Oryctolagus cuniculus: one gene and its partners. The protein of the gene in region 3 interacts with the protein of the main gene of each other region in a pairwise test. Links are inferred from orthologs where the notes say so. Each region holds a gene or a part of one and is shown on either strand. Other genes may lie near its edges.

Region 1 (3,500 bases), on a different chromosome or scaffold from region 3:
TAGAAGCTGAGCAACTTCTGTCTCCACAGAACCACGTCCTGAGCACTCTGGCCCCACAGCTCGGTGGGAAAAATTTCTCAAGTAGAATATGGAAATGCCTTTAGGATAAGCAAAAGCCTAGAACAGACAAGTCTGACAGCAAAATCTCAAGAATGTAAACACACAAACTCTTTGAGGGCAAGGAGTGCTAACTTGTTTGTCTCCCACAGAACTTTGCACAATATTCTTACCCACAAGACCCACTGGAGTAAGTATATGCTCAGTAAATAAATGGAATAAATGAGAAATAAAACAGGTAAGAAAAAGGATGAACACGGTGCTATTTTCCTACTACATTCCCCAATGCATTTTTCAGAAACAACAGTAAGGCATTTCTGAAATAAAATCATAATCAACAGGAAAAACAGGACTCGGTCTTCCAAGCATTTCCAAAAATGCTTAAAAATGACCGTTGAGAACAAAAACAGAAGATGCTTGATAAATGGTTCATTTCAACCACTCTCTCGTAAATAACATAATCAGTGAACACAAGCCCCGTCAAATCATGCAATTCACCAAACTAAAATGTGCTTCATAGGTAATCTGTTTAGTTCTCTACACAATTCTAAGTGGAAACAAACGTGTGATACTGAAGTTCAAGACTCTGAGGCAGCTCCCCAGAAAGGCAATAAGCATTTACTGGAGCAGAAACTCAGCCTGAAATAATGGGGACAGCAGACAGAGATTTAAAAGACAGAGTTACTGTCCCAGCTGAGACACTAAAGAAGTGTCTGGGCCTTGGTTTCCACAGCTATCACACAATGGGAGAACAAATCTCTTAACAGCCACTTCAGTATAAAAATTCTAGAATTCTATTAAACTTGAATGAAGAATCTACAAATATAAGACTTCTTGGGAGCTGGCGCCGCGGCTCACTAGGCTAATCCTCCGCCTTGTGGTGCCGGCACACCGGGTTCTAGTCCCAGTCGGGGCGCCGGATTCTGTCCCGGTTTCCCCTCTTCCAGGCCAGCTCTCTGCTGTGGCCAGGGAGTGCAGTGGAGGATGGCCCAAGTGCTTGGGCCCTGCACCCCATGGGAGACCAGGATAAGTACCTGGCTCCTGCCATCGGATCAGCGCGGTGCGCCAGCCGCAGGGCACCGGCCGCAGCGGCCATTGGAGGGTGAACCAACGGCAAAGGAAGACCTTTCTCTCTGTCTCTCTCTCTCACTGTCCACTCTGCCTGTCAAAAAAAAAAAAAAAAAAAAGACTTCATGGAAAGATCAAGCTGAAGGAGATTGGAATGACAAGACCTAGCTTTGCAAGGTTATACAAAATGTAGACAGAACAAAAGTCATTTTCTTTCCTATTAAAGACTTAAATCCACTGGAGTTTCAACTTGTGTAATCCCTACTTAAACAGCAACAGAGTGGCAAACAGGGATTGCTATTTTCATGTCTCAGCAAAGAAAATTCTCAGTTCTGGTCCCTTCTCTGCTACTTTTTGGTTCTCTTTAGCAAGGTTGTCTTTGAATTTGGGTCTCTACTCACAGCTGTGATACACAGGGATAAAGAGCTCATTACCGTCCCATTCAACACTGACAACCGCAAAGAAGAGATTTACAGCAGACGGCTGCCACCTATCTGTGTTTACCTTTTAGGAGAGCACGAACTACTTTTCTCAAGTGTCCAGCTAGCTCCACTGTCAGAAACAGCCCACTGGGCAGTCTGCTGCACTGTTCTGACAGTAACTTGGCCCACTCCAAAGTACTCACATCTGGGTTCATCATTCCAGTCAATTCGTAAAACACTGGAGCACCTGCTTAGTGCCAGGCACCTACACAGCAGGGCCTTGCAACCCCTTTCCTGCAGGAGCAGCTTTCCTGCTGCCACTCACCTTGGGCCTCGTTAGCCCCTGGTCCCTGAAGTCATCGTCATCACCCACCCCAAATTTCTGGCTTCGGCGTCTGCTGTTGTTGCCAAGCACCTGGGCGTTGGCTTTGAGGACGTGATTCAGCACGTGCAGGCAGTACACGTGGCGGATCTCCTCTCCATTCTTCAAGGCAGACCTTTCTGGGTAGAACAGGTCCCGGTAAGAATTCATAATTAAGAAGAGCTCTTTCTGGAGGGGGGTGAAAACACTACTTGATTTTTGGGGGCCGGTTAGGAACTGGCTGTTGGTCTTGGGCCAGGTGGATTCCAGGGGCTTCTGGAGATGCAGTGACTTCAGGTCAATATCCTTTGGGGGTTTAAATGTTTCCAACTTCTGAAACTTGGATGAAAAGACAAGCTGGCCCAGGATGGGCCACTAGGAGGGAGAGAAAGAGAGAGAGACACCAAGAGCTAAGTTAGAAATGAATTACAAGACCTTAAACTCACATACCTTATCAAGAACTTTCATGATTTATACATATCTCACTCAACCCTTACAACCCTGCAAGGTGGATACCATAATACTCACAATATAGTTCAGGAAAAGCTGAGGTTCTCACAAACTTGTATGATCCAGACAAAGTTTACATAGGGGCAGGTAACTAGCCTTCCAGTTAAGATACTGGTTAAGACATCTGTACCCCATAAAGGAGTACCTGGTCAGGCTTCCTGCTATTGCAGACCCTGAGAGAGAGCAGTGATGGTTCAAGTAACTGGGCTCCTACCACCCCTGTGAGACATAGATAGAGTCCCCGGATCTCAGCTTTGACCTTGGCCCAGCTAGGCTATTGCAGGCATTTGGGGAGTAAACCAGTGGATTGGAGTGCTGTCTCTTTGCCTTTCAAATAAACAATTTTCAAAAAACAGTTTACACAGGAAGGAATGGAGTCGAGGGCAAGAATCTAAAGAATTCATGGTTTCTGACTTCAAATATAAGCTCTTTGCTCCATTGGTGCTCCCCAAGATGTTTTGCAAAATATAATCTGAGGAAGAGTAAAAATTCTTTCTAGAAAAAAAGGAACTCCACACTCAGATAACTCTGGGTTCACAATGTATACTGTAGACTAATAATTCTGGCAAGTCCCATAAGAACTCTGTCCACTTTGTTGAACCCAGAGTTTTACAAATTTATTTGAACATGAGAAAAAAATTTTATTTTTAGAATCCTAGAGAATATTTTGTGGGAAATGAGTTTGGAAATTTTTGCGTTGTAGCAAAATTTGCTAATCTCAAAATAGGATGACCTCAGCAAGTACAGAAAAACAAACTAGTCATTGGTAAAACTATATGAATAAATCCCCAAGCAATTATGCTATATGAAAAAAAGTCAATCTCAAAAGATTATATACTGTAAAATTTTATTTAACATTTTGAAATGATAAAACTATAGAAATGGAGACATTAGTGGTTTCTAGGAGTTATGAATGAGGTGGGGGAGCATAGAAGGAAGCGACTGTGGCTGTAGAAGGGCGCAGGGACTTGCCTATCTGGTGCTGGACATGTTTCACACCTTGATGGGTAGTGGTGGCAGAGACAGGGAGCTACACAGCTGACCAAACCATACCAGAGCTCCAAGCGCTAGCTTCCAATTCC
Region 2 (3,032 bases), on a different chromosome or scaffold from region 3:
CCCCTGGAGTCCAGGAACCCACAGTCTTCCTTTCCCTCCCTTATCTTGACCTCTGATTTTAACATATCCTTTTTAAAAATTAATTTATTTAATTGAAGGGCAGAGTTACAGAGAGAGAGAGAGAATCTTTCATCTGCTTGTTCACTCCTCAGTGCCGCAATAGCTGGAGCTGGGCCAATCTCAAGCCAGGAGCCAGGAGCTTCATCTGGGTCCCCCATGAGAGTGTAGAGGCCCAAGCACTTGGGCCACCTCCTGCTGCTTTCACAGGCCATTAGCAGGGAGCTGGACTGGAAGTGGAGCAGCCGGGACTCGAACCAGCGCCCATATGGGATGCCGATGCTGCAGACAATGGCTTAACTGCTGTGGCACAGTGCCGGCTTAACATAAACTTTTCTTTCCCAGGTTTTTAACTTTCGATTTTTTCAGACAACCGGATCTAGCTGGTTCATAGCTGATGGGAATGAAGTGGCACATTTTAAGATAACCTTGAGGCAAAATGAAATATTCCTGTAGAGGCAAATCAGGGCTGAGAAGGATGCAGAAAGCTCAAGATTTGGAGTGGGGGCAGGGGGGAGGAGGAGGGAGGACTGGAAGTTACAGGAGACAGGGAGATGGGGGAGGGGACAGCTACAGGGAGGTAACCCAGGGACCCCAGGGAATCCTCCAGGAGTTCTGGTCTGTGACGCCCAAACTTTTCTCATGAGAACACTGAAGCGTCACTTACATGTTTTGCTCTTCCTGTCTCAGGCGCACACCAGTGGCATGCACCAGGGTGGGTGACACGTGCTGTCACAACAGCACGGCACAGAAGCCTGCATGAGAGCCTCCCTGTCCTCTACAAAGACGCTAGAGGGACATGCCACAGTGTCCACCATGTCATCCTTTGCACAAAATAGTTTTCAAAACTTTTTTTTTTTTTTGACAGGCAGAGTGGACAGTGAGAGAGAGAGAGACAGAGAGAAAGGTCTTCCTTTGCCGTTGGTTCACCCTCCAATGGCCGCCACGGCCGGCGTGCTGTGGCAGGTGCACCACGCTGATCCGAAGGCAGGTGCTTCTCCTGGTCTCCCATGGGGTGCAGGGCCCAAGGACTTGGGCCATCCTCCACTGCACTCCCTGGCCACAGCAGAGAGCTGGCCTGGAAGAGGGGCAACCGGGACAGAAGCCGGCACCCCGACCGGGACTAGAACCTGGTGTGCCAGCGCCACTAGGCGGAGGATTAGCCTATTGAGCCGTGGCACCGGCCAAAACTTTTTAACAACAACAAAAAATGCCATTTATATTAACATGTTTGTTATCTTCATTTTAAAATGAATTAAACACATATTTAAAGGTTTTATGTTCCTAACCTGTAGGAAGAAAAGCTCTCTGGAGTGTGGATAAACTTTGTTTTTCTCTATTTTTTAAAAAGGTTTATTTATTGGGGAGGCAGAGTTACAGAGAGGGAAAGACATGGAGAGATCTTCCATCCGCAAATTGTGAGAGTGCGAAGGGATCCTGAGAATCACTACTTCCAGAACAAACTGTGGAAGGCCATCCCAGGGCACTTGGCCGGGTCCCCTAAGCTGAAGGGGATATCAGCTCCCCAGCTCCGCCCAAAATGCAAATAACCCTCCTGGGAAAACCTCTTGTACCATAGAAAACTCACCGAAACTGAGGAAACACTGCACTTACAAGTGAGATTCTTGGCTTGCAGTCCATGTTGAAGTGGACATCCTTGGCTGCGCAGCCCGCTGCTCCACTGCACCCACATGGTAACAGTCACCCTCAGCTAGAAGGAACTGCTGTCACAGGTGCACCCCTCAGCCAGCAGTTCCTACCTGCTGTGCTAGTCTGCTGAACTACCCCATCTCTGCTTATTCCATCTGCTCTGAATTCCCTACATGCAATCCCAACCATCCAATGCACTTCCTGTGGTGGGGTCTTTCTTGTGAGTGCCCTAAGTGTTCCCTAGCACTTGTTCCAGGAGTTTTCCTTCCCATCCTTTATATTCCCTGAGTGTCACTAAAATTAGGGGGAATGCTTCTCAGTGGGTCAGTTTTATTAATTGTGCTTCATATTCATTTGCCAACCCTGCGCCCAGCCTTGTTGTAGGCACTGGAGGACACAGAGCTACCAGGTTCCCTGTGCTGGGGTGGGCCCTGTGGCTCAGCAGGTTAGGCCGCTGCACTGCGCTGGATGCCGGTATCCTGCACCAGAGTCGGGGCTGGAATCCTGGCTCCTCCACTTCCGACCTGGCTTCCTGCTAATGCACCCACGTGGCAGACCTGCACAGCGATCCTGGCTCCCGGCTTTGGCCTGGCCCAGCCCTTTCTCACTCTCTGGCACTCTGCCTTCCAAATAAGTAAATCTTAAACAAAATTACATATGAGGGCACTTCATAATGTTCTCAGGAAAAATGGAAAGAAAAGGTACGTTTAAGAGGATGCAAAGCAGTTTTTGCATAGCGTGGCCCGTGCCTGCGCGTCCCCCTACCATGTCCAGCTGTTTGTGCGTGTCCTCCAGGGACACGTGGGCCGTGTCCTTCAGCTGCTTGCTCACGATCTGGAAGAGGTTCAGCGTGGCCATCTTAATGGTGCCAAGCAAGAGGGTCTTCTTGGCGGCGGTGTTCTGGATGTGTGCCCAGCGAGACTCCTGCGGAAGCCATACGGGTGGGCGGGACCGGAGGCGCTCAGCGGCACCGCCCGCCCGAAGCCAGCCCCTCTGCCGCCCCCGGGCCGGGCCGGGCCGGGCCGGCTCACCCAGATAATGACGTCGCTGCGCGCGCGGTCGAAGCGCATCTGCAGCCGCGCCAGGTCGTTGTTGTGTTGCAGGATCTCGTCGTCCTTCTCCTCCATGTAGCGCGCCAGCCGCGCCTTGGCGCGCTCTATGCTCTCCTGGCCCTCCTGCGCCGACTGCAAGAGGTCGTGGTGCATGCTCACCAGCGTCTTGTAGCGCGCGATCACCTCGTGGATCTCTTCGAACTGCGGCCGGGGAGTGGGGGCTAGGGGTCACTGCCCTGCCAGCCCTTCCAGGGCCTCACCCCACCCATGCCC
Region 3 (3,500 bases):
ATGAGCTCCTTAGTAAAAATGTTATAAAGTAGAACTATGGGATCATACAAGATAATTATCTTTAAGCTGTTTTTATATTTAACATTAAATGGGCCTCCAAAATGTATACCATTTTTATCCTAAAAAATGTAGGTATTATTTAATATAGGTATTAAAAGCTTCTATATGATTATTATGTGTAATCTAAATGTCATCTCATTGTTTTTAATAGTTCTTTGATTTATCATGTAGTTGGACTTTTTAATATGTTTTTTGACCACTTGTTTACATATTTTGTGATTTAACTCTTTTCATTTCGTCTGCACTCCTGTTACCAATTTCCTTTCTGCTCCTTCCTAGACACCTTAAACTCCGGTGTGCCTAACTGCAGTTTTGACCCTTTCCAGTCCATCCACTTCAGCTGTGGTACCCTTCTTAGAACATGAATATATCATAAACATGTCACTTCTCTACTTAATCTCCAGTGGCTCCACTGCTTTTAGGATAAAATGCAAAGTTTGCCGTTTGCACTACAAGGCCCTTATGACTTTGTCTCGTTCTCCAGCCTCCAGCCAAGAAAGGACACACACACACACACACACACACACACACACTCACACACTCACACAGTCTTTGCTTGGTTAACTCCTACTCATTGTGTAGGTTATTGCTTAACATTAACTTCCTCTTGGATTTCCCTTAGCTCCCAAGTCCCTGCCGGCTGACTCTTGGGTATGCTCTACTCCCTCTACAGCAGCATTTACATTGCCTGTTTAATGTCTGTGAACTGTGAGCGCTGTGAGGGCAAGGGCTATGAAGGCAAGCACCACAACAAATTGGTTCTCCCTGTTTATTTCCAGTTCCTAGCACAAGGCCTATCTTATTAGTTGTCCTAAATAAATATTGAATGAATAGAGGGATAGATGGATGGATGGTTGGATGGATGGATGGATGAAAAAAAAGATTAGGGAGGTCTGGAAGAAATTTTATGAGCCAACTTTCTGGCTTGACTATTTCCCTAAAGAGGTCATTCATTGTCTCCTTACTTGCCAAATCCTAGAAGACTGGCTATTCAAAATGAGGCCTGAAGATTATACTGAGATTGTCTTTCACTTATTTATATTGGCTTGCAGTTTATTCCTGAAACATCTCTATTTTCAGAAGTAGCCAAGAGATATTGTTTGTAGATGTGTGGCAGGGTTTACATACTTGATCACATGTATTTTTCAACTCTTCATCCTCACAACTAGGTTACCAGGAAAGTTCCCTCTCTAGTCTTCCTCATTCAGTGCTTCTTCCTTCCATTCTAACTTGCATATTGTCGCCAAGTTGATCTTTCTTTTCATCCTATTATTTGAATTCTCAGGGATCTTCACTGACTGATTCAGAAGATGTGGCATAGGACTTAAACACGTATATTTTAGTAAAAGCTCTTCCAGATAATTTTGATATGTAACCATGTTGAGGAATGGCTGAACTATGTAAAATACATCTCATTTTTTTAAAAAAAGGAGCAGTGTAATTGATTGAATATATAGAGTTTAGAATTAGATGGACATGGTTTCAATTATATTTCTTATCCTTAATAGTTTTGTGATCTTGGGAAATTTATTTAGCCTTTTAATGTGTCTACTTTTTCATTTGCAAAAATGGAAATAATGTCTAATATACAGGGTTGTGGTAAGGGGTAAAATAGATAATGTGTGGCCGGCGCTGTGGCATAGCAGGTAAAGCCACCATCTGCAGTGCCAGCATCCCATATGGGCACCGGTTCGCATCCCGGCCACTCACTTACAATCCAGCTCTCTGCTAATGCTCCTGGGGAAACAATAGAAGATGGCCCAAGTGCTTGGGCCCCTGTACCCACGTGTGGGACCCAGAAGAGGCTTCTGGCTTCAGATTGGCTCAGCTCCAGCTGTTGTGGCCATCTGGGGAGTAAACCTGCAGATGGAAGACCTCTCTCTGCCTCTGACTCTCTTTTAACTCTGCCTTTTAAATAAAGAAATAAATCTTTTAAAAAAAGTAGATAATTATGTAAAGTGCATCCACAGTACCTTGTATATACTAAACACTCATTAAATGATAGAAGTTATGTTGTTATTGGTAGTCATGCAGTTATTCATTCAACATTTACTTATTCACTATATGTTCAATACTGTGTTAGGGATCATGGAAGACATAAGACATAGGAAATACGACCATTGCTCTTGAGACTCTTAGAATTAGTTGGAGGAGAGAAAATTATGATAGCATTGTACAGTTAAAGAATAATAAAATGAAATATATATATATATATATAAAATGAGTGATCAAATCAAGGATAGTATTTAGAGGAAGGTGTTAATCCAGCATGCTAGCTCATTGATTAGCATAAAAAATAGAGAGGGAGAAAAAAATCACTCAAACTGGGAGAAAAAAACATTCAAACTGCTCTTCCCAAGCCTTCAGAGGTCTAGTTTTGATGCTGCCTGCCAGATGGAAAATGATGCAGAGGGGAAAAAATCCTGTATTTACTTCTTAAAATTAAGACAGGATGGAGGGGTGTGTTTGAGGGGTGAACATATGTGAACAAATATGGTATAATTCTTAATTGGTTCCTTACGGTTAAAATCTAGATTGTTCCATTAGAAAAGCACAAATATGATATTTTCACTTAGTGAATCAAGTCTTGCAAGTCATTTCTTTTCACCTTGTTAAACTAGAAATCAAACACAGGATGAAGGTGCAAACTTATTTTGATGTATATTGATGTATTCTTTTTTTTCTTTTTCAGGGTTGCTATGGCAACTGCATCTTCTCAAGTTCTGATTCCAGACATCAATTTTAATGATGCCTTTGAAAACTTTGCTTTAGATTTTTCCAGAGAAAAGAAACTGCTGGAGGGGCTAGACTATTTAACAGGTGTGAAAATACTATGCTTTCCTTCCTATTTTGCTTATTTCTTTTTGGTGTACTTTTACTTTGAAATAACATGAAATGGATAATATTTATAATAAAATGTTCTTATAATCTTTAAGATGATATAATTACCATTTTAGATAGAGTACATTTTAGTTCATGTATCAGAAGAAAACGATGAGTCATCCACTATTTCTAGGATTAGAAAGATTATACTATTCATACTTAAGAGTAAGCCACAGAAATTGCTGATGAATTTCTCCATATGAGTCTATCAGTAATGTGCCATTCTTGCTCTAAGAGGGCAGTCAGGTGACAGTGAGGGACTATTACAGAATGCCCCACATGGTATAGGTACTACCTATAGGGTTTTAAGGAAACTTAGAAATTAGCTTAGAAAAAAAAAAGGTAAGAAATATCTGCCTTGAAGACAATGTTGGGAAATGAAGGATGCAACTAGTCTGTTTACAAAAAAGGTGACTACCTTCAGAATTACATAATGATCACTTACTGAGGAAAACTACACATAATAATTTTATGTTTGTAGCTATTTTATTAATTTATTAACATAGTTATCCTATATGAAACACCTAGTTTATGCCAGACACTGTTATATTAATTTT
Region 4 (4,142 bases), on a different chromosome or scaffold from region 3:
GAAGAGGTCACTGGAACGCGTTACCTGGTTGTGTCCAGCAAAGAGTCAGGCAGCCCAGGGTTTGGATCCCCACCTCGCCACCTGTAGAAGCTGTGTGACCTTGGGCAGGTTCTCTGGTCACCTGTCCCTTTCCTCCTCTGTAGAATGAAGTAGCAATGTGAGAATCAGCACCTAGTTGCACTGTGCTAAACACTGAGGCTCCTGGAGGCCTAACAGGACCTATTAAGTACAGGTCCTGGGAGGGACTTGGTAAATGATAGGGGTGGTGGTTCCCATAATCCTGCATGCTTGATTCCCAGGCGGCTCTCAAGGGACTCGGGCTGAGTGCTGGTCCCAACACTCTGGCTCCAGGCCTGGGGCTCCGCAGCTCTGCCAATGAGGCTGCTGATCGGGATGCTGATTAAATTCCCTGATAGAGAAGCCCCAGCATTCTGGCCCAGGGCTCAAGGACCGGCAATATTTAGCACAATCTGCGTGGTTCTCTAATTAAGTTATTTTTCGAAACTGCCCTTTGCAAGGTCTCCTTCCTCACCTCTCTCTGGCCCCTTCTCGCTGGGTCCCTGCCAAAGGAGGGAAATAAAACCGAGTGGGGCGCCCTCCTCCCTCCCTTGGCCGCCGGGAGAGAAGGTGACTGGAGGCAGGCTGAGCCCGTGTTCCTTGCAGACAATGCAGCTGCACCAAGCCCTGGTCATTCCAGGTGGCTGCGGCCCCCACGCAGGGGGCTAACGTCCCCACCAACACTGGCCTGGGCCTTGTGTTTTGTTTTGGGGAGGCAGAGTTGGGCTCGCCACTAAGACCCATCCTTTATCCCGACAGCTCGCAAGTGCTCTGCTGGGAAGGGCGATTAAACAGCACTCCATGTATTTTTCCATTTTCCTATGTGCACCTGGTAAAAATAAAATAAAACAAAAGAGGCCCAGGATTGAACTGTCATTGTTTTCTTTTAAAAGGGGGAGCGGGCTCACGTGACTGCGAGTAACCGCTTCGGCCAAGCCGCTTGCCACTCCGGAGTTTGCTGCAGAGCCGCCCCCTCCCGGCGGGGACGCTGACGTCACGGAAAAGCCCGGTCGCGGGCCAGCGGCGCTCGCTATAAACCGCGGGGCCGCGGCGGCCGCAGGCGGCGGCTCGGACGGCGGCCACCGTGCAGCAGCAACGCGCTCGGCTGCCCGGATCCCCCTGCGGAGTGACGCGCGTGCGCGTGTGTGCGCATACCCACGCGGACCGCCGGCCCCGGCCGTGCCAAGTAAGGGGCGCGCTGCGTGAGGGGCTCCCGGGAGCCGCGGCCCCTAGCGGGCAGGGAGTGGGCGTGACCCCCGCGGGCGCAACTTTTCAAGTTGGGAAGGGAGCCCTTGGGGTGCTCAGTCGAGCTGTGGTTTTCTGTGGGAGTGGGCGGACGGGGCAGAAGGGGGCGCAGAGCCTCAGGTGCAGGGGTTGTCGCTTCTGTCCCCTTGATTGCCTCAGGGGGAGGCTCGCCGCCTCCTACAGTTCCGTACCGACAGAGGGTAGTCCTCAGGACACCTCCTGCTCTTGTCGTTTGGGTTAAAAATCGCCGGCCAGGTAGTGGGCGAGGTGTTGGGGCGCGGAGTTTGGGGGTGAGGCTGGGGAACAGAATGTTTGTCCAGTTCTTTCTCACTCGCACCGGCCGGATCTCGCTGATGGAAATGCAAGGGCTGCCATCGGTATGCACGGATTGCACAATTGTTTGCAGCCAAATAAACTTAGCAATTTGGATTCCGTTTTCCACGACCTTTTTGTACTCCATCTCTGGTGGCCGCGGAGTGTGCGGAGAGGCAGTCTTGCGAAGGGAAAGTTGTAGGAGGGGCTCTGGCCTTCTGATTGGCTTCCAGATGTCTGAGTCGAAGAACCCTGCGGGAGGGATGTGGTTTGCTCAGAGCGAGGTGCCTCCTCTGCCAGTGGATAGGTCTGGACGTGAGCAGGTCATTCCCCAACGTGGGTGAGGAGCCCGGGGTGGGGTGAGGGGAGGTGACTGTAACCCTCCAGAATCCCCCTGCCCCCCGCTAACGGTCTGTCCAGGCAGCTGGAGAGCATCAGGGCGTCTTGACTAAACATGGAAGTTCCCATAAGTGCCTGTCCAGTCGCACGGTGGGGGGGTGGTAGGGGGTAGGGGGTTGGGGGTTGGGGAGAGTGATGTCATGGCCACGTGTTTCCCACCGAGGCACAAACGCCCGCTGTCCGCTGGTGCAGTAAGAGCCTTGTTTAGACAAGAGCACCCAACCTGGCCAGCTGGTCTCCAGCAACATTAACTTGTTGCTTTTCAAGCCTTCTTGGGAGGTTGTCGGCTCTCTCTGGTTGCCTCTGAGCCAGCTCTGAGTGGGGATCACAGGAGTCCCCAAGGATGGAGGAAACCCACGGGCAATGGGCCATGTTAATGGTACTTTTTAATCTGTGCAAATGGTGTGGGGTGTGTGTCCCGGCGAGGGCCTGGCTGCTTGGGGTTTGGGGACTGTTTCACTGGTGCACTGATGTTAGGATACTTGGTCGTCACCACGTCACTGACGACCGCCCCTGACTCTCGCTCATGCTTGCTAATGCTGGCTTCTTGGCTGCTCTGCTCCCTAGGACCCGACGATGACTCTGAACAATGTCACCTTGCGCCAGAGCACCGTGGGCATGCAGCCCCAGCAGCAGCGCTGGAGCATCCCGGCTGACGGCAGGCATCTGATGATCCAGAAAGAGCCCCACCAGTACAGCCACCGCCACCGCCCCGCTGCCGCCCCGGACGACCACTGCCGCCGGAGCTGGTCCTCCGACTCCACGGACTCCGTCATCTCCTCGGAGTCGGGGAACACCTACTACCGGGTGGTGCTCATCGGGGGGCAGGGAGTGGGCAAGTCCACTCTGGCCAACATCTTTGCGGGCGTGCATGACAGCATGGACAGCGACTGCGAGGTGCTGGGAGGTAGGTAGTGCACCTCGGTGGGCTTCCATCCATCAAGCGGTGGTCCAGGCTGAAAGAGCAAGAGTGGTGGGTTGTTGGAGAGCTGAGCTGCGGCTGTGCATTCTTCACGCTGGGTGAGGGAGCTGGGTGCCCAGAAAAGCCTTGGTCCAGCTTGGCACAAGAAAATGGAACTGCTCCAAGACAGGTCCCATATCTGCTGAACCTGGGCCAGCAGGGAGTGTCTTAGATTCCAGGTCTGAAGGGGTGGTGGGTGGGTGGGGGGGTGGGCTGATGAAGAGGGCAGAGAGTAGGGGTCTGGATCCCACTTCTGGCTTAGGCGACTCTGACCTAGAGCTTATTACCTGAGTTTGGGATAGATGCTGCCTTTCCCTGGGTTATACCAGGGAACCCAGCATTTGAAAAACTGCAAGAATTCACTAGTTTCCATCAATATTAGAGCCGTTCAAGGGTACAGATAAAGAGTTCAATATATATATGTGTGTGTATATATATATATATATTTGAAATGGTATAAGAATTTGTTACAAATTTAAAGTACACAATGTTGATACATATTTTCTATAGAGCCTTACAGCTTTTCAAGACAAGATTTCTCATGTAATCTCATTTAAAATGTTTAGAGAAGGCCTGCTTATTTCCTATACTGATCACGAGCACACGTATTCCTCTGTGGCAGGTCAGCCACAGTCCTGTGTTCGGGGAAGTGATAGGCAGATCCGCATGACCAGTGGTATCCATACAGTGTCATTCAGCCACGGCTTCAGTCTTAGCATGTGTGGCCAGGGTAATTGGCTGCTGTGGAAATAAAGGAAGAACTGTCCAGTGCTTGCCCAACTCACGTGTTCTGTCCATACTCTCAGCTGCGACTCAGCCTGAATCACAGACCTGCCGAGTGGGAAGGTACCTTAGTGATGACTCAGTTCCCGCCCCCTCTGTGTGATGCACACAAAGCCTACTCCTCACTACCGGCAGCCGCTTCATCCAAGGGATTTATTCTTCTTGACGGTGGCAGGGTCGGGGAGGCCACGGCTGCCCGAGGCAGCTCAGGAACTGGGCTATTAATGATGACTCATGGACGTTAACATTGATTTCCCTCCTCCCTTCCGAAATCTCAGGGACTACAGCTTAGCAAGAGGCAAGGGGACGTTGTAGCATTGATCTTCTCTTCATAGGGGCTGGAGGGTGACTCTCGCTGGAAGAGAGGAAGGAACCAATGCCGGGG
Region 5 (4,089 bases), on a different chromosome or scaffold from region 3:
CCCCACTTCTCGCTCACCCTCCATTCCGGGCCGGTCCCCCTTGCGCCCAGAAAACCTCAGGCGCGAATTCCACCGAGAGACACAAACCCGGTCCCTTTCATCTCTCTCCAGAAGCCTGGGACAGGGCAGCTCCAGCAGGGTTGTGGGCCCACGGCCTGGCGGCTTTGATCTTGTATTCTGTCTGCAACCGCGGCCACGCCGAGGAGATGCTGGGGTTCCTAGCACCAGGGCGGAGGCCGAGGTGACCTCTCATGGGCTTCCAGAAAAGGGGGCCCGGCCCCTCGCCCACAGGCCTGTGGGTGGGGCTACTGCTGCTCCTGGGTCCGGGGTCCCGTGCTCGGCCCACCTCTCTCTCAGGTACTGCGCTTCCCGGGCGTTTTGCGGGCTGCTGGGGGCGGAGGGGAGGAGAAGGGAGCCTGCTTTTCTGGCGTGGGCAGGCCCCTCCCGCTGGCCTCCAGCCCCCGTGCCTCTCTCCTCAGCTTTGGCCCACCACCCCCACTTGTGCCAGACCAGCCCGGACGCCGACGGCCGCCTCCACCGGGGTTTCTTCTGCCCTCGGCTCTCCGACGCCCCGGAGGAGGCCTACTGCTGCCACCTGCGGGCTGCCGAGGGCTCCTGCTGCACGCGGGCAGAATTCGAGGCCCTACACCGAGTCAACCTGTCCGCCCTTCCGCCCCCGCCCATCCTCAGGTGCGGACCCCAACCCGGAGCCACCGACCAGGGGTTCTAGGATCCGGGGCTCTGTTCCCAGGTTCCGGGGTGGAGTGGGGTGGCGAGTTTGCAGTTTGCGGATTAGCGCGGGGACAATGAGCGAAGTCCCGTCAATCATGACACACACTTCTGCAATGGAAAAGTGCCGGGGGCTGCGGGAAGTGGGCACCCACCCTGAGTCAAGGGGTGTGTCGTGAGGCAGAGGGGGTCGGGGCGGCTCAGAAGGGCCTGTCGCGCGTGGATTACACCCAGGATGCCAGTGTCCATCCAAATGTGTGCGCCAATGAGTACGTGAAGATCTACATTTCTCTGCTGCTAACACTCTCTCCTCTCCCATAGGGGCCCGGGCCCGCTCCTAGCGCTGGGCCTCTACAGCCTGCTGCTGGTGGCCCTAATGACCACAGACCTGGTGCACTTCTGCCGTGGCCGGAGCCCGCGCCGGGGCCGCCGCGCACCTCCCTCTAGGTCCTCGGCGGCTCGCCCCCTACGGGTCTCCGCGTGAACACGCAAGGCACGCCTGGGGCCCTCTCTGCGCCTGCGCACGGAGAGCCCCGCCCCGCCTGGGCAGCACGTCCTCTCCGTGGCTCCGCCCCTTCCCTGACACAGCGCTGGGCGGGGCCTCTCGCGACGGCTTCCGGAGCCTAGACACACCCCCGCCCCAGAGACTGCGGCTGCGCGGGGAAGGGACATCGGCTCTGCGATGACTGTGAGTGGTCCAGGCACCCCCACCCCGAGCCCCGGCCCGCCGTCCCGGGGTACGAGGCTCTTCCCGCACCTCCGCGCCCCTTCCCTGACCATACCCTGGCCACCGCCTCCCGCGTTCCTGGCTCTGCACGGCGCTCGCCCGCGGGCCGCGCTCCCCGCTCCCTCTCCCCCGAGCCCACCGCGACGCGGCCCGCCGCCCCCTCCCCACAGGCCAGCTCGGCGGAGCAGCTGCGGAAGCAGGGCAACGAGCTGTTCAAATGCGGAGACTACGAGGGCGCCCTGGCGGCCTACACCCAGGCCCTGGGTCTGGGCGCGACGCCGCAGGACCAGGCCGTCCTGCACCGGAACCTGGCCGCCTGCCACCTCAGGCTGGTGAGGAGCCCCAGCCTGGCCACCCCGCTTTGTCACATGTCTGGGGGGCCGCGGAATGGATGGGAGGGGCGTGGGTGACTGCCACGCGGCCGGTCCCCGGGAGGGGGGGACCCTCCGCTCAGGCACCTGCTCTCTCACAGGAGGACTATGACAAAGCCGAAGCCGAGGCATCGAAAGGTAGGCGAGCGCCGGCTCGTGACACGGGCGACAATCCTGGGGCCACTGCATCACCACCGCGTCTGCTGCTGTGACCCCCTAGCTCGCCTGCCTCCTCCCTTCGCACTTGCTGGGGCCTGCCCTTTTCACAGCTACCTGTACCTTGTCTGGGGCTGGAGTACCGAGCCCCACCTCTGTCTCCCACCCCCACCCCCACCCCTTCCTCTGGCCCTCCAGAGCTTTCTCTCCTGCTCTCGCCCGGACACGGTGGCCTCACGGGTGCTGACAAGCTCCTGTTTGTGCTCAGCCATCGAAAAGGACGGCGGGGACATCAAAGCGCTCTACCGGCGGAGCCAAGCCCTGGAGAAGCTGGGCCGCCTGGACCAGGCCGTGCTGGACCTGCAGAGATGCGTGAGCCTGGAGCCCAAGAACAGAATCTTCCAGGAGGCCCTGCGGAACATCGCGGGCCAGATCCAGGAGAAGGTATGGGGGATCCGGGCACCGAGCGGTGGTGCCGGGTGGTGGTGCGGGGGTAGGCACAGCTCCCTGGGTGTGGGCGCGCAGGATGGTGCCCGGCGAAGAGCAAACTACAGGTGCAGCCTGGTGCTGGTAGTTGTCACCGCTTAAGTGGTGAGATTGGGGGGCAGGGCTCGTGTGACTGCTGGCGGGGGTGGAAATTGGTACAACGTCTGGAAGTGTTAAATGCTCATAATCTGTAATCTACTATATTTACCCCCCCCTTTGGTACGTTTTATTTATTTATTTATTTATTTGAAAGGCAGAGTGACAGAGAAGGGGAGAGATGGAGAGAGAACGCTTCCATCTGCTGGTTCACGCCCTAAATGCCCGCAACAGCTGGGGTTGGGCCAGGCTGAAGCCAGGAGCCCCGAACTCCAGCCAGGTCTCCCACGGGAGTTCAGGGACCCTAGCACTTGGGCTGGCTGCCGCTGCCTCCCCAGGCGTGAGTGTTAGCAGGAAGCTGGATTGGAAGCAGACTAGACAAGACAGACCAGGCACTCTGATATGGATGTGGGTGTCTAAGCTGCAGCTTCACCTGCCCACCACAGACACCTACCCCAGTGTGTTCACTTCTTGCTGTTTTCCCTGGAGCAGGGGCGAGGGAACCTTTTGTCTGCCAAGGGCCGTTTGGATCTGTCCACCGTCATTATGGGCCATAGAAAATGATGGACTTAAAAAGCAGCCTGCTGTAGTTTGCGGAATTTTGAGTCTCTTCGGTGGTTGCCTTGGCCAGAACAAATGATTTCGCAGCCTTATATGGCTCAGACACTGAACGTTCCCCACCCCTGCCCTAGAGAGGCCTTGCCTGCGTGCACGAGTTTGTACGCGTGTGTTTATTGCAGCCTTGTTTCTAGTAAGGAAAACTTGGAACTCGCCTAAATGCCTGGCAGGAGGGGAATGGCTAAATACCAGGGTGATGTCGTCACTGCAGACTCCCGTGTTGTGGTTACTCAGAACAGGCGGATCGGAGGCAATGGGAGAGCCGGCCAATGAGGAAAGACTGCTCAGTAACACACAGTGTGTTAAAATGGTCCCCCACACCGAAAACTGCTTTACCCTGGGGGGTGGGCGTCCAAAGGAAAGGACGAGTATATCAAAATGGTAACACTGTGACCTCTGGGGAAGGAAGGGGAGTGAGTGGAGTCCCTGCGTCATCCCTTAACTGTTTTAAATTTGAGAGGCAGAGATGGGTTCCTGTCTGCTGGTTCACTCCCCAAGTGCCCACAACAGCCAGAGGTAGACCAGGCTGAAGTGGGAGTCTAGGTCCCCCACGTGGGTGGTGGTGAGCCAGTTATTTGAGTGGTTACCAGTGTCTGGCAGGAAGCTGGAATTGGGAGCGGAGCCAGGACTTGATAAGGGCCCAGGTGTACTGAGGACAAATGCCTGCCCGTCAGTATTTCTCAAAGAAGGAACGGTGTGTGGTACACGTGTTTCAAAGCTAGTGGAAACAGAATCTAACGATCGCCATGAGCTACCGCCAAGCCTGTGTCAAGCAGCTACTTTGGTGTTAAAGTGGGCGTTGGTGCTAGCAGTTAAGAGGCAGCTTGGATGCCTGCGTCCCGTATTGGAGTGCCTGGGTGCACACCCCAGCTCCACTCCTGTTTTTGGCTTCCTGCTAACGCGCAT
Region 6 (3,500 bases), on a different chromosome or scaffold from region 3:
GCATCTAAATCACTTACTGGTTCTCCTGACAGAGAATAAAAATACTTACACACTCATTTGGTCCAGCTCATCTTGCATTGCCATCAAAAGTTCAGACAAATTGTCACAAAAGGAATCAGACTTTTCTGAGTCAGAAGGGACAGCTTTACACCATGAGGTTTTTCTAGTAGGCCTGCACAAACACCTATGCTCAGTGACTTCAGAAGGTTTCTGTAGGATCCGTGGCCCAGATCGTCGCGTTGTTTGCAGAAGGTTTTGCATACTTGCATTCACAGAACTGCCTGCACTGGCAGACTTAAGGGAAAAAGAAATAGCTGAGAATTTTAAATGAATGGTGCTATTTAAATAGTACTTACAATAAAGCAGGCATTTTTTTGAACAATTATCTTCATGTTTTCCTCTTACCCTTTCAGTCTCAAAAGGCAGTGCTCCACACTTTGAATAAACTGGCTGAGGTGGCCCTCTCTTCAAACATTTATTTGTCTAAAGATTGACAGGGGAAAAAGTAAACAAAATTATTTTAAAAGATATTTATGATACGACAAACTCTCAAAACTCAACAGTCAACAAACTGTGCAATTTGAAAATGGGCAAAAGAAATGCAAACATTTCACTGAAGAAGACACAGAGGTGGAAAAATGAACACGAAAAGATACCTTTTAGGGAAAACATGTTAAATCACAATGCAGAGGTGGGGTATTGTAGCAAAGTGGTTTAAGCTGCTGATTGGAATGCCTGCTTCTATTTTTGGAGTGCTGATTGAGTCCTGGTTCCTCCAATTCTGAGGCAGCTCCCTGCCAATGCAGCTTGGGAGGCTGTAGATGATGGATCAAGTGCTTGGTTCCTGCCACCCTGTATGGGAGACCCAGGTAGAGTTCTGAACTCTGGCTTTAGCCCTGAAGACCCTGGCTGTTGTGGGCATTTGGTGAACAACTGGATGGAAGATCTCTCTGTCTGTCTGTCTGTCTGTCTCTGTCTCTCTTTCTGTCTCTCTCTCTCTCTCCCCACACCCCCTCTTTCCCTCTCAGTCTTTCTAGTAGATGAAAATAAACTTCAAAAACATCTAATGTAATATCACTGCATAACTATGAGAAGACCCAAAACAGAAAACAGTGATGACACCAAGTGTTGGTAAGGATGCAGACAACCTGGATCACTCATACACTGTCGCTGGGAACACAAGATGGTACAGCATTGGAAGAGTTCTGGAGGACAGTTTGGCAATTTCTTATAAAACTAAACATTTCCTTATCACATGACCCAACAACTAACTGTACCTTTGGCCATTTATCCCAAAGAAATGAAAACTTAGTTAACACAAAAATCCATATAAAATTTCACAGCAGTTTTGTTTGTAAGAACCAGAAAGGTAAATGGTAAAATCTGTAACATGGACTACCATGCAGAAATAAAAGGAATATACAGATACATGTAACAACTTGGATGATCTCATGGGAAAAAAGCCAAGCCTAAAAGCTTATATACTGTATAATTGCATTTATCTAACATTCTTGAAATAACAAAATGATAGAGATGGTGAACAGATTAGTGACTGCCAGGGTCAGGAAGGGGGACATGTTGTATACAGGGATTGTATAAAGGAACCTTACAGCAGTGGGAGAGTTTTGTATCTTGATTGTTATAATGCTTACATGAATCAACATGTGATAAAACTCTAAAAGTCTCACTGCTATTAGTTACCATCTAGAAGTACAGCTCTGATCCTGTGTCTACTCATCTCAGAAACCTTCAATAGTTCCCAACTACATACAGAATAAAAGTTCAGTTTTTTAACATGGCACTGAAGGGCTGCCACAGTCTCACTCTAAGTCATGTTTTCTTTCATTCATTCAGTTGAAAGGCACACAAAAGTTGGGGGCAGGGACAGACCTTCTAACTGCTGGTTCACTTTCCAAATGCACTTAACAACCACGAGCCAGGAACTCAATCTAGGTCTCCTGCATGGGTAACAGGGACCCAAGTATTTGAGCTATCACCTGGTGCCTCCTAGGGTCCACATTAGTAGGAAGCTGGAGTCAAAAGTTGAGTTAGCATTCTAACAGGGGATGCAGGCATCCCAAGTGGCATCTTAACCACTATGGCAAATGCTCACCTCTACATTTTCAACTTTAACTCTTACTATGATCCCACTACTGTACTTTCACGTCTGGGTCTCTGGAAAAACCAACAGTTTCCTCAGGTTTTACAGGTTGAGAACCTTTATCCAAAATGCTGGGGACCTGGAGCTGGTGCTTTGGCATTCCATATGCAATCCGATTAGAGTCCCAGCTGCTTCACTATTGATCCAGCTCTCTGCTGTGGCCTGGGAAAGCACTAGAGGGTGGCCCAAGTTCTTGGGCCCCTGCACCCATGTGGGAAACCTGGAAGAAGCTCATCAATCCCAGTTTTGGATTGGTGCAGGTCCAGCTGTTACAGCCATCTGGGGAGTTAAACCAGTGGATGGAAGATCTCTCTCTCTCTCTCTAACTCTTTCAAATAAATAAATAAATTTTTGAAAAAAATGTTTTAAAAATGCTGAGGACCAAATGTTTCGCATTTCAGAATTTTTTTTCAGAATATACATACTTTTAAAAATATTTTTTATTTTAAAAATGATGTATTTATTTATTTGAAAGGCAGAGTTACAAAGAGGCAAAGAGAGAAAGCAACAGAGAGAGAGAGAGAGAGAGAGAGATCGTGAGAGAGCGAGAGAGAGAGAGAGGTCTTCCATCTGCTGGTCCATTCCCCAGATGACTGCAACATATGGGATGCCCATATGGGACACCGGCATTGCAGGTGGCTGCTTTTTACCTGCTACGCCATAGTGCCAGTCCTGGAATATACATACTTGAATACATACATAAGGTATCTTGGCAATGAGACTCAAGTTAAACGCAGGATTTGTTTCATATATATCTCATCTACACAGCCTGAAGGTAAGTTTTATACAGTGCTTTTAGTGCACCTGCATTTTGACTGTGACCTGTCACATGAGGGATTTTCCAGTTAGGGCATGTCAGTACTCAAAGTTCTGGACTTGGGAGCATTGTGGATCTGGGATTATCAGATCAGAGAAGTTCACCTTGTACTGCATTTCCCATTATCTCACTCCATCAATCCCTTTTATTCTCCAAGGCTGACTTCAATGCTGCTTCTTTCATCACCCTTAACATATTCCTTAATCTATAAAATACTGCCACTTTAAATTTCATTATATTTTGTCTTATATTTGTATATTTATTTTTTATAAATTCCAGAATTATTTAGATCATCTAGAGATACCAGTGTAAGTACATTTGGATGTATGAATAGGAATGGGCGGTTGGCTTTGTAGATAAGATGCCAGTGTCCCACACCTGAGTGTTGAGGTTTGAGACTGACTCTGCTTCTGATTTCAGCTTCCTGCCAATGCACACTCTGGAAGGTAGCAGATGATGATTCAAATACTTGGGTCTCTGCTACCCACATGGGAGACCTGGGCTGAGCTCCCAATTTCCAGC
Region 7 (3,964 bases), on a different chromosome or scaffold from region 3:
AAGAGAACCAAAGGAAGCGTGGAGCACCGAGGTTCTGAGGTGGGAGTGTGACAAGCATGCTGTGGGGATAGCTGTGGGGCAGTGTGGTTGCTTCAGAGTGAAGAGGAAGCAGAAAAGGAAGTTGCGGTATGTGGGGATGAAGGGTGTATTGTGAAGTGCTCCTGTAAAGACTCACCTTTACTCAAAGGATGAGCATAAGTTAGTAGAAAGTCCTAGGAGAGGGTTAACATTGTCTGAACTACATTTTGTGGTGATCATCCTCTCTGTAGCCATTGTATTCAGAGTAGATTTCAGCAGAGCAAGTACAAAACCAGGAAGATCAATTAGGAAACTATTTTGGTAATCTAGTAAGATGTGGAGCTTTCAATCTAGAAAGTCCCGGGATGTCTTTATGTATTCCTTATCACCGTGCCTTGTCAGCACATTCAATATGTGCTTGTGTGTCTTAAATGAAAACACACTAGGCTCACTGCACAAAGTGACAAATGAGGAAGGTATTTCTAGGAATAGGTTCTTAGCATTTATGTGTGATTAAAACCAGAAATACTTTGCTAATACTGGGTTTCTGGCACTTTGACTCAGTCCCATTTATACCTAAACACCACTTAGCTTAATAAAGAAACAGCAATGATTTGTATTTAACTTATTTTGACCTTGCAAAGAAGTACTAGACAAACCCAGGCAAAATTGTCAGGACACTCAATTGCTCCTCACTTACCAATTACCTAACATTTCAACCTAATTTTTTGGTGTACATTTCAAATAAAGCATCACACAGGGCACTGGAGAATGTATAAGACAAGCTTCTTTGCTCAATGTACAATCAAGTTGGATGGATAAAACTCACACCTCACAGGTAGCAAATCTGAGGTAATGCAATGCATATCTAGAGTTAAACTATTTAAGTTGGATCTTGAGGAATGAATCAGAAGTGGAAAATGGATAGGAAGTAAGAAAACACTGGTGAACCAGAATATGAGTTGCTGCTCTGGGACTTGCAATGAATTCTTCACCTTAAATTTAAAAATATTAACAACAAAAGGAGGAAGCTCATTGTAACACTATGTCTTTGAAAACACAGGTGGTTAGAAGCCAAGAAGAGACTAAATATAGAGATCCCTTATATAAAACACTAAGCAGTCAGCCATTCAAAAGTAGCCCTCCTACCTTCCCACTTCCCTCCCAGAGGAAGCCAGATGCACTCAGGAAGTTGCTAAAGACAAATCCTTCGTCCTAGTTCCTTTCTGCTCCTTCCACAGCAAGCCTGTCACCATTCAAGTTCCCAGAAGCTGTGCAGGAGGCCGAGCTCCCAGCCAGAAGTCCTCAGAGTTGGGGAGGACACCCGGGACCCGGACACTGGGCTGACAACAGGGATCAAGGAAGGCGAAACGAGAAATGTATGTGGATTGACTCCTCTCACTGCCCGTAGCCCTGGGCCTCCGGGAGCTGGGAATCCCGACGGCACCCTGCGGCGGACAAACTGTCGGCTACGTGGAGCGCCTACACCACCACCAGTCCTGGGTAAGTCGGGAGTCCGTCCGCCTCTGGGGGGTGACAGTCGCCAGGGGGTGTGGCTGCCGCGGTGGTCGCTTCAGCCGAGGAGGAATTCGTCGCTGTCCCTAAAGCAGTCTGATAAGTGGGACAGGGTCCGGTCCACCCTGTCGCCGGATCCTCACCGCGGCGGAGCCGGGGCTGGCTGGCGGGGAGCGAGCGAGGGGGTTATAGGGAGCCCCGGTTCTTCCTGGCAGCCCTGGCTGGGAGCGGGCTGTGTGCATCGGCTGTCGCCTGCCTCAAACCTGCTGTACCTAGGCTGCTGTCTCACCTGCTCCCTGCCAGCCCCAGGCCGAGCGCCACCTCCGAGAGAAGGAAGCCGGGGAGTTTCCTTCCCCGTGTTCTGGATGACCGGTCCTTGAACAGTTTGGAGTCAGACCCGCGTTGCTCCCCGCGGCCCCCTCGGCTCTGTGAATTCGGTCGGTCTTTTAAGATGCCGAGTCACTGGACCGCCGTGGTGAACGGTCAACCCGCGAGTCCTCTGCCTCTGATCGTCTGTGGCTTGTCGTGAAGCAGAGGAATTGTGTGTGATGGCAGGATCTGTGGCCTTGTGATTATTTCGGGAGGAACGACGGGTCTAATGCAAGCCTGCGGCTTAAATTTTGCCACTCTCTGATTATGTGAATTATGTATGTGGCTCTGGTGACTGTATCCATCCTTTCTGCTCTCCGTGCTTCCTGAGTTTCACGGAGCTGAATGAAAGTTTTCGGGGTTTTGACTATCGTGCGTGGGTAAACCCAGACAGATGCCGATTAAAAAAAAAAAAAAGGTTTGGGCAATGGGTATTGTCCTGTTACTGTATCGCAATAATGACAACAGCTGCAAGTGAGAGCTAGGAAGTTAGTTTCGTTTCTCCTTTCGTTCTGTTTATAACCATCTACTCTTCCGTGGAGATAATGAATGTAGTGCTAATGAGCACAGTTGTCTTTAAAGATATGGCAAATGTCCCCACACACTTTTTTCACAACAGAAAAAAACTGGATCTTCTTTGTATTCAAAGGGTTGTTCTTTTTTATCCCTCCTTATGACTTGTTTAGTTTGGAGTAGAAAGAATGTTCCTTCTACTCATAGTAATAACTCACACACAGCACATGCTGTTCTGCGGTTTTGTTAACTCATTTCATCTTCAGTATGAATATTATTCCCATTTTATGGACAAGAAAAAAAAATGAGTACCTCTGATGGTTGTATTTACCATTATATTGTTTGCAGAATTTTTAATAATAAATTCCATGTTAGAAGTTTTCTACTGATATTTACCAAAATTTTTTTGTGCTTATACTCAAATTATTTAGTATTTAAGTGTACTAGTAAGAATGGGTTCAGTTCTTTGAATGTAATAACATCTTACTCTTTGGCAAATATCAGTAAATAACATTACATTTATAAATAGTTACGATATGAAAAAATACATGCTTATTTTTATTTCCCTGCATTTTTATTTTTACATAGGGCAAGTGCCTCAGTTTCAGTCTGGGTGACCTTTAAGTGAAATTTGCTTGCCATCTTAGTTCATACACAGAAAACTGCAATCAACAAAATCAACAGGTCGAAGAAGAACGATGTTGTCCTTAAACAACCTACAGAATGTCATCTATAACCCGGTAACTGATTTCTGTAAACTCACTCTTTACTGCTGGGACGATTGATAGCAAATCCAACTGAACAGTAATGTCAGTATTCAGTGGCGAGGAGAAGGAGAAGGAGAAGTAAGGGTCTTGTCCAGTCCATGCTGGTCCAACAGCCCCTGAATGACTGTAGTTGCTGAAAATTTGTAATGAACATCTGGGCAATAAAAAGCTTGCTATAGTGCCAGGTGGTGGTGAGAGTCTTCAGCAGTATCTGGTCTCCACTTACCTGCAGCTGAATCATGAATTTGGACACTTGCTTTCTCAACAACCCCCCTAGGAAGTCATTGGCCAATATACAGGGTGAGAGGCCTCAAAGCAAGCGCCGATTAAAGTGCATGGACTCAGGCTTTTGTTGTTTATTTTGTAGCTGCAGTTGTTTTCCCCCTAAGTATGAACGTCATTGTGCAAGAATAAAGTGCAAAAACTGGATCAAGCAAAAGCTCGGTTTCAGAAGACCCTTCAGCAGTAGTAGGTTGAAAAAGGAAGTGTCACAGAATCTGAAGCCAGTGAAACACTTAAAATGCTTTTGTGGGGGTAGTTGTGGACTGACTTCCTGCAAAGATCGGAAAACAAAACCAAAAACAGGCTGATGCTAAGAGGGGCTGAGGTGTGTACTTGGCTCAAGCTGGATGGGTTATGGGTTATGCGTTCGCTTTTGCCCTTCACACACACAAGATGCTTTATTTCAATGTTATTTAAGAATAATCTTATAGATTAAAATCCCTGTATATATTATTTTAAAAAAGATTTATTTATTTGAAAGGCAGAGTTACAGAGAGGTG

Evidence for each region.
Region 1: the proteins of MID2 (region 3) and UTP25 interact in binary tests that used the Homo sapiens proteins (3 or more experiments, as listed by UniProt). The link is inferred for Oryctolagus cuniculus from reciprocal best matches to the Homo sapiens genes MID2 and UTP25.
Region 2: the proteins of MID2 (region 3) and CCDC42 interact in binary tests that used the Homo sapiens proteins (3 or more experiments, as listed by UniProt). The two-hybrid records come from large-scale screens. The link is inferred for Oryctolagus cuniculus from reciprocal best matches to the Homo sapiens genes MID2 and CCDC42.
Region 4: the proteins of MID2 (region 3) and GEM interact in binary tests that used the Homo sapiens proteins (3 or more experiments, as listed by UniProt). The link is inferred for Oryctolagus cuniculus from reciprocal best matches to the Homo sapiens genes MID2 and GEM.
Region 5: the proteins of MID2 (region 3) and UNC45A interact in binary tests that used the Homo sapiens proteins (3 or more experiments, as listed by UniProt). The two-hybrid records come from large-scale screens. The link is inferred for Oryctolagus cuniculus from reciprocal best matches to the Homo sapiens genes MID2 and UNC45A.
Region 6: the proteins of MID2 (region 3) and CEP57L1 interact in binary tests that used the Homo sapiens proteins (3 or more experiments, as listed by UniProt). The two-hybrid records come from large-scale screens. The link is inferred for Oryctolagus cuniculus from reciprocal best matches to the Homo sapiens genes MID2 and CEP57L1.
Region 7: the proteins of MID2 (region 3) and LGALS8 interact in binary tests that used the Homo sapiens proteins (3 or more experiments, as listed by UniProt). The two-hybrid records come from large-scale screens. The link is inferred for Oryctolagus cuniculus from reciprocal best matches to the Homo sapiens genes MID2 and LGALS8.

What each region holds. Positions count from the first base shown.
Region 1 is NC_091444.1:24,691,583-24,695,082, reverse strand, and holds part of UTP25 (U3 small nucleolar RNA-associated protein 25 homolog), read right to left. Parts: intron 2,284-3,500; coding exon 1,873-2,283; intron 1-1,872. UniProt on the Homo sapiens protein: Component of the ribosomal small subunit processome for the biogenesis of ribosomes, functions in pre-ribosomal RNA (pre-rRNA) processing. Essential for embryonic development in part through the regulation of p53 pathway.
Region 2 is NC_091448.1:53,156,063-53,159,094, forward strand, and holds part of CCDC42 (coiled-coil domain-containing protein 42), read right to left. Parts: intron 2,961-3,032; coding exon 2,739-2,960; intron 2,632-2,738; coding exon 2,473-2,631; intron 1-2,472. UniProt on the Homo sapiens protein: Essential for male fertility. Required for sperm development.
Region 3 is NC_091453.1:85,394,603-85,398,102, reverse strand, and holds part of MID2 (probable E3 ubiquitin-protein ligase MID2), read left to right. Parts: intron 1-2,752; coding exon 2,753-2,880; intron 2,881-3,500. UniProt on the Homo sapiens protein: E3 ubiquitin ligase that plays a role in microtubule stabilization. Mediates the 'Lys-48'-linked polyubiquitination of LRRK2 to drive its localization to microtubules and its proteasomal degradation in neurons.
Region 4 is NC_091437.1:119,690,938-119,695,079, reverse strand, and holds the start of GEM (GTP-binding protein GEM), read left to right. Parts: upstream 1-1,342; 5' UTR 1,343-1,610; coding exon 1,611-1,679; intron 1,680-1,727; exon of another isoform or gene 1,728-1,954; intron 1,955-2,163; exon of another isoform or gene 2,164-2,356; coding exon of another isoform or gene 2,357-2,392; intron 2,393-2,580; coding exon 2,581-2,920; intron 2,921-4,142. UniProt on the Homo sapiens protein: Could be a regulatory protein, possibly participating in receptor-mediated signal transduction at the plasma membrane. Has guanine nucleotide-binding activity but undetectable intrinsic GTPase activity.
Region 5 is NC_091443.1:100,330,543-100,334,631, reverse strand, and holds the start of UNC45A (protein unc-45 homolog A), read left to right. Parts: upstream 1-1,289; 5' UTR 1,290-1,411; coding exon 1,412-1,417; intron 1,418-1,626; coding exon 1,627-1,788; intron 1,789-1,928; coding exon 1,929-1,965; intron 1,966-2,181; coding exon of another isoform or gene 2,182-2,251; coding exon 2,252-2,427; intron 2,428-4,089. Other genes in the region: protein shisa-like-1, read left to right, coding at 252-357, 480-690, 1,051-1,213.
Region 6 is NC_091436.1:62,255,630-62,259,129, forward strand, and holds part of CEP57L1 (centrosomal protein CEP57L1), read right to left. Parts: intron 484-3,500; coding exon 406-483; intron 295-405; coding exon 50-294; intron 1-49. UniProt on the Homo sapiens protein: Centrosomal protein which may be required for microtubule attachment to centrosomes.
Region 7 is NC_091444.1:61,238,307-61,242,270, reverse strand, and holds the start of LGALS8 (galectin-8), read left to right. Parts: upstream 1-1,164; 5' UTR 1,165-1,521; intron 1,522-3,003; 5' UTR 3,004-3,113; coding exon 3,114-3,155; intron 3,156-3,549; exon of another isoform or gene 3,550-3,771; coding exon of another isoform or gene 3,772-3,789; intron 3,790-3,964.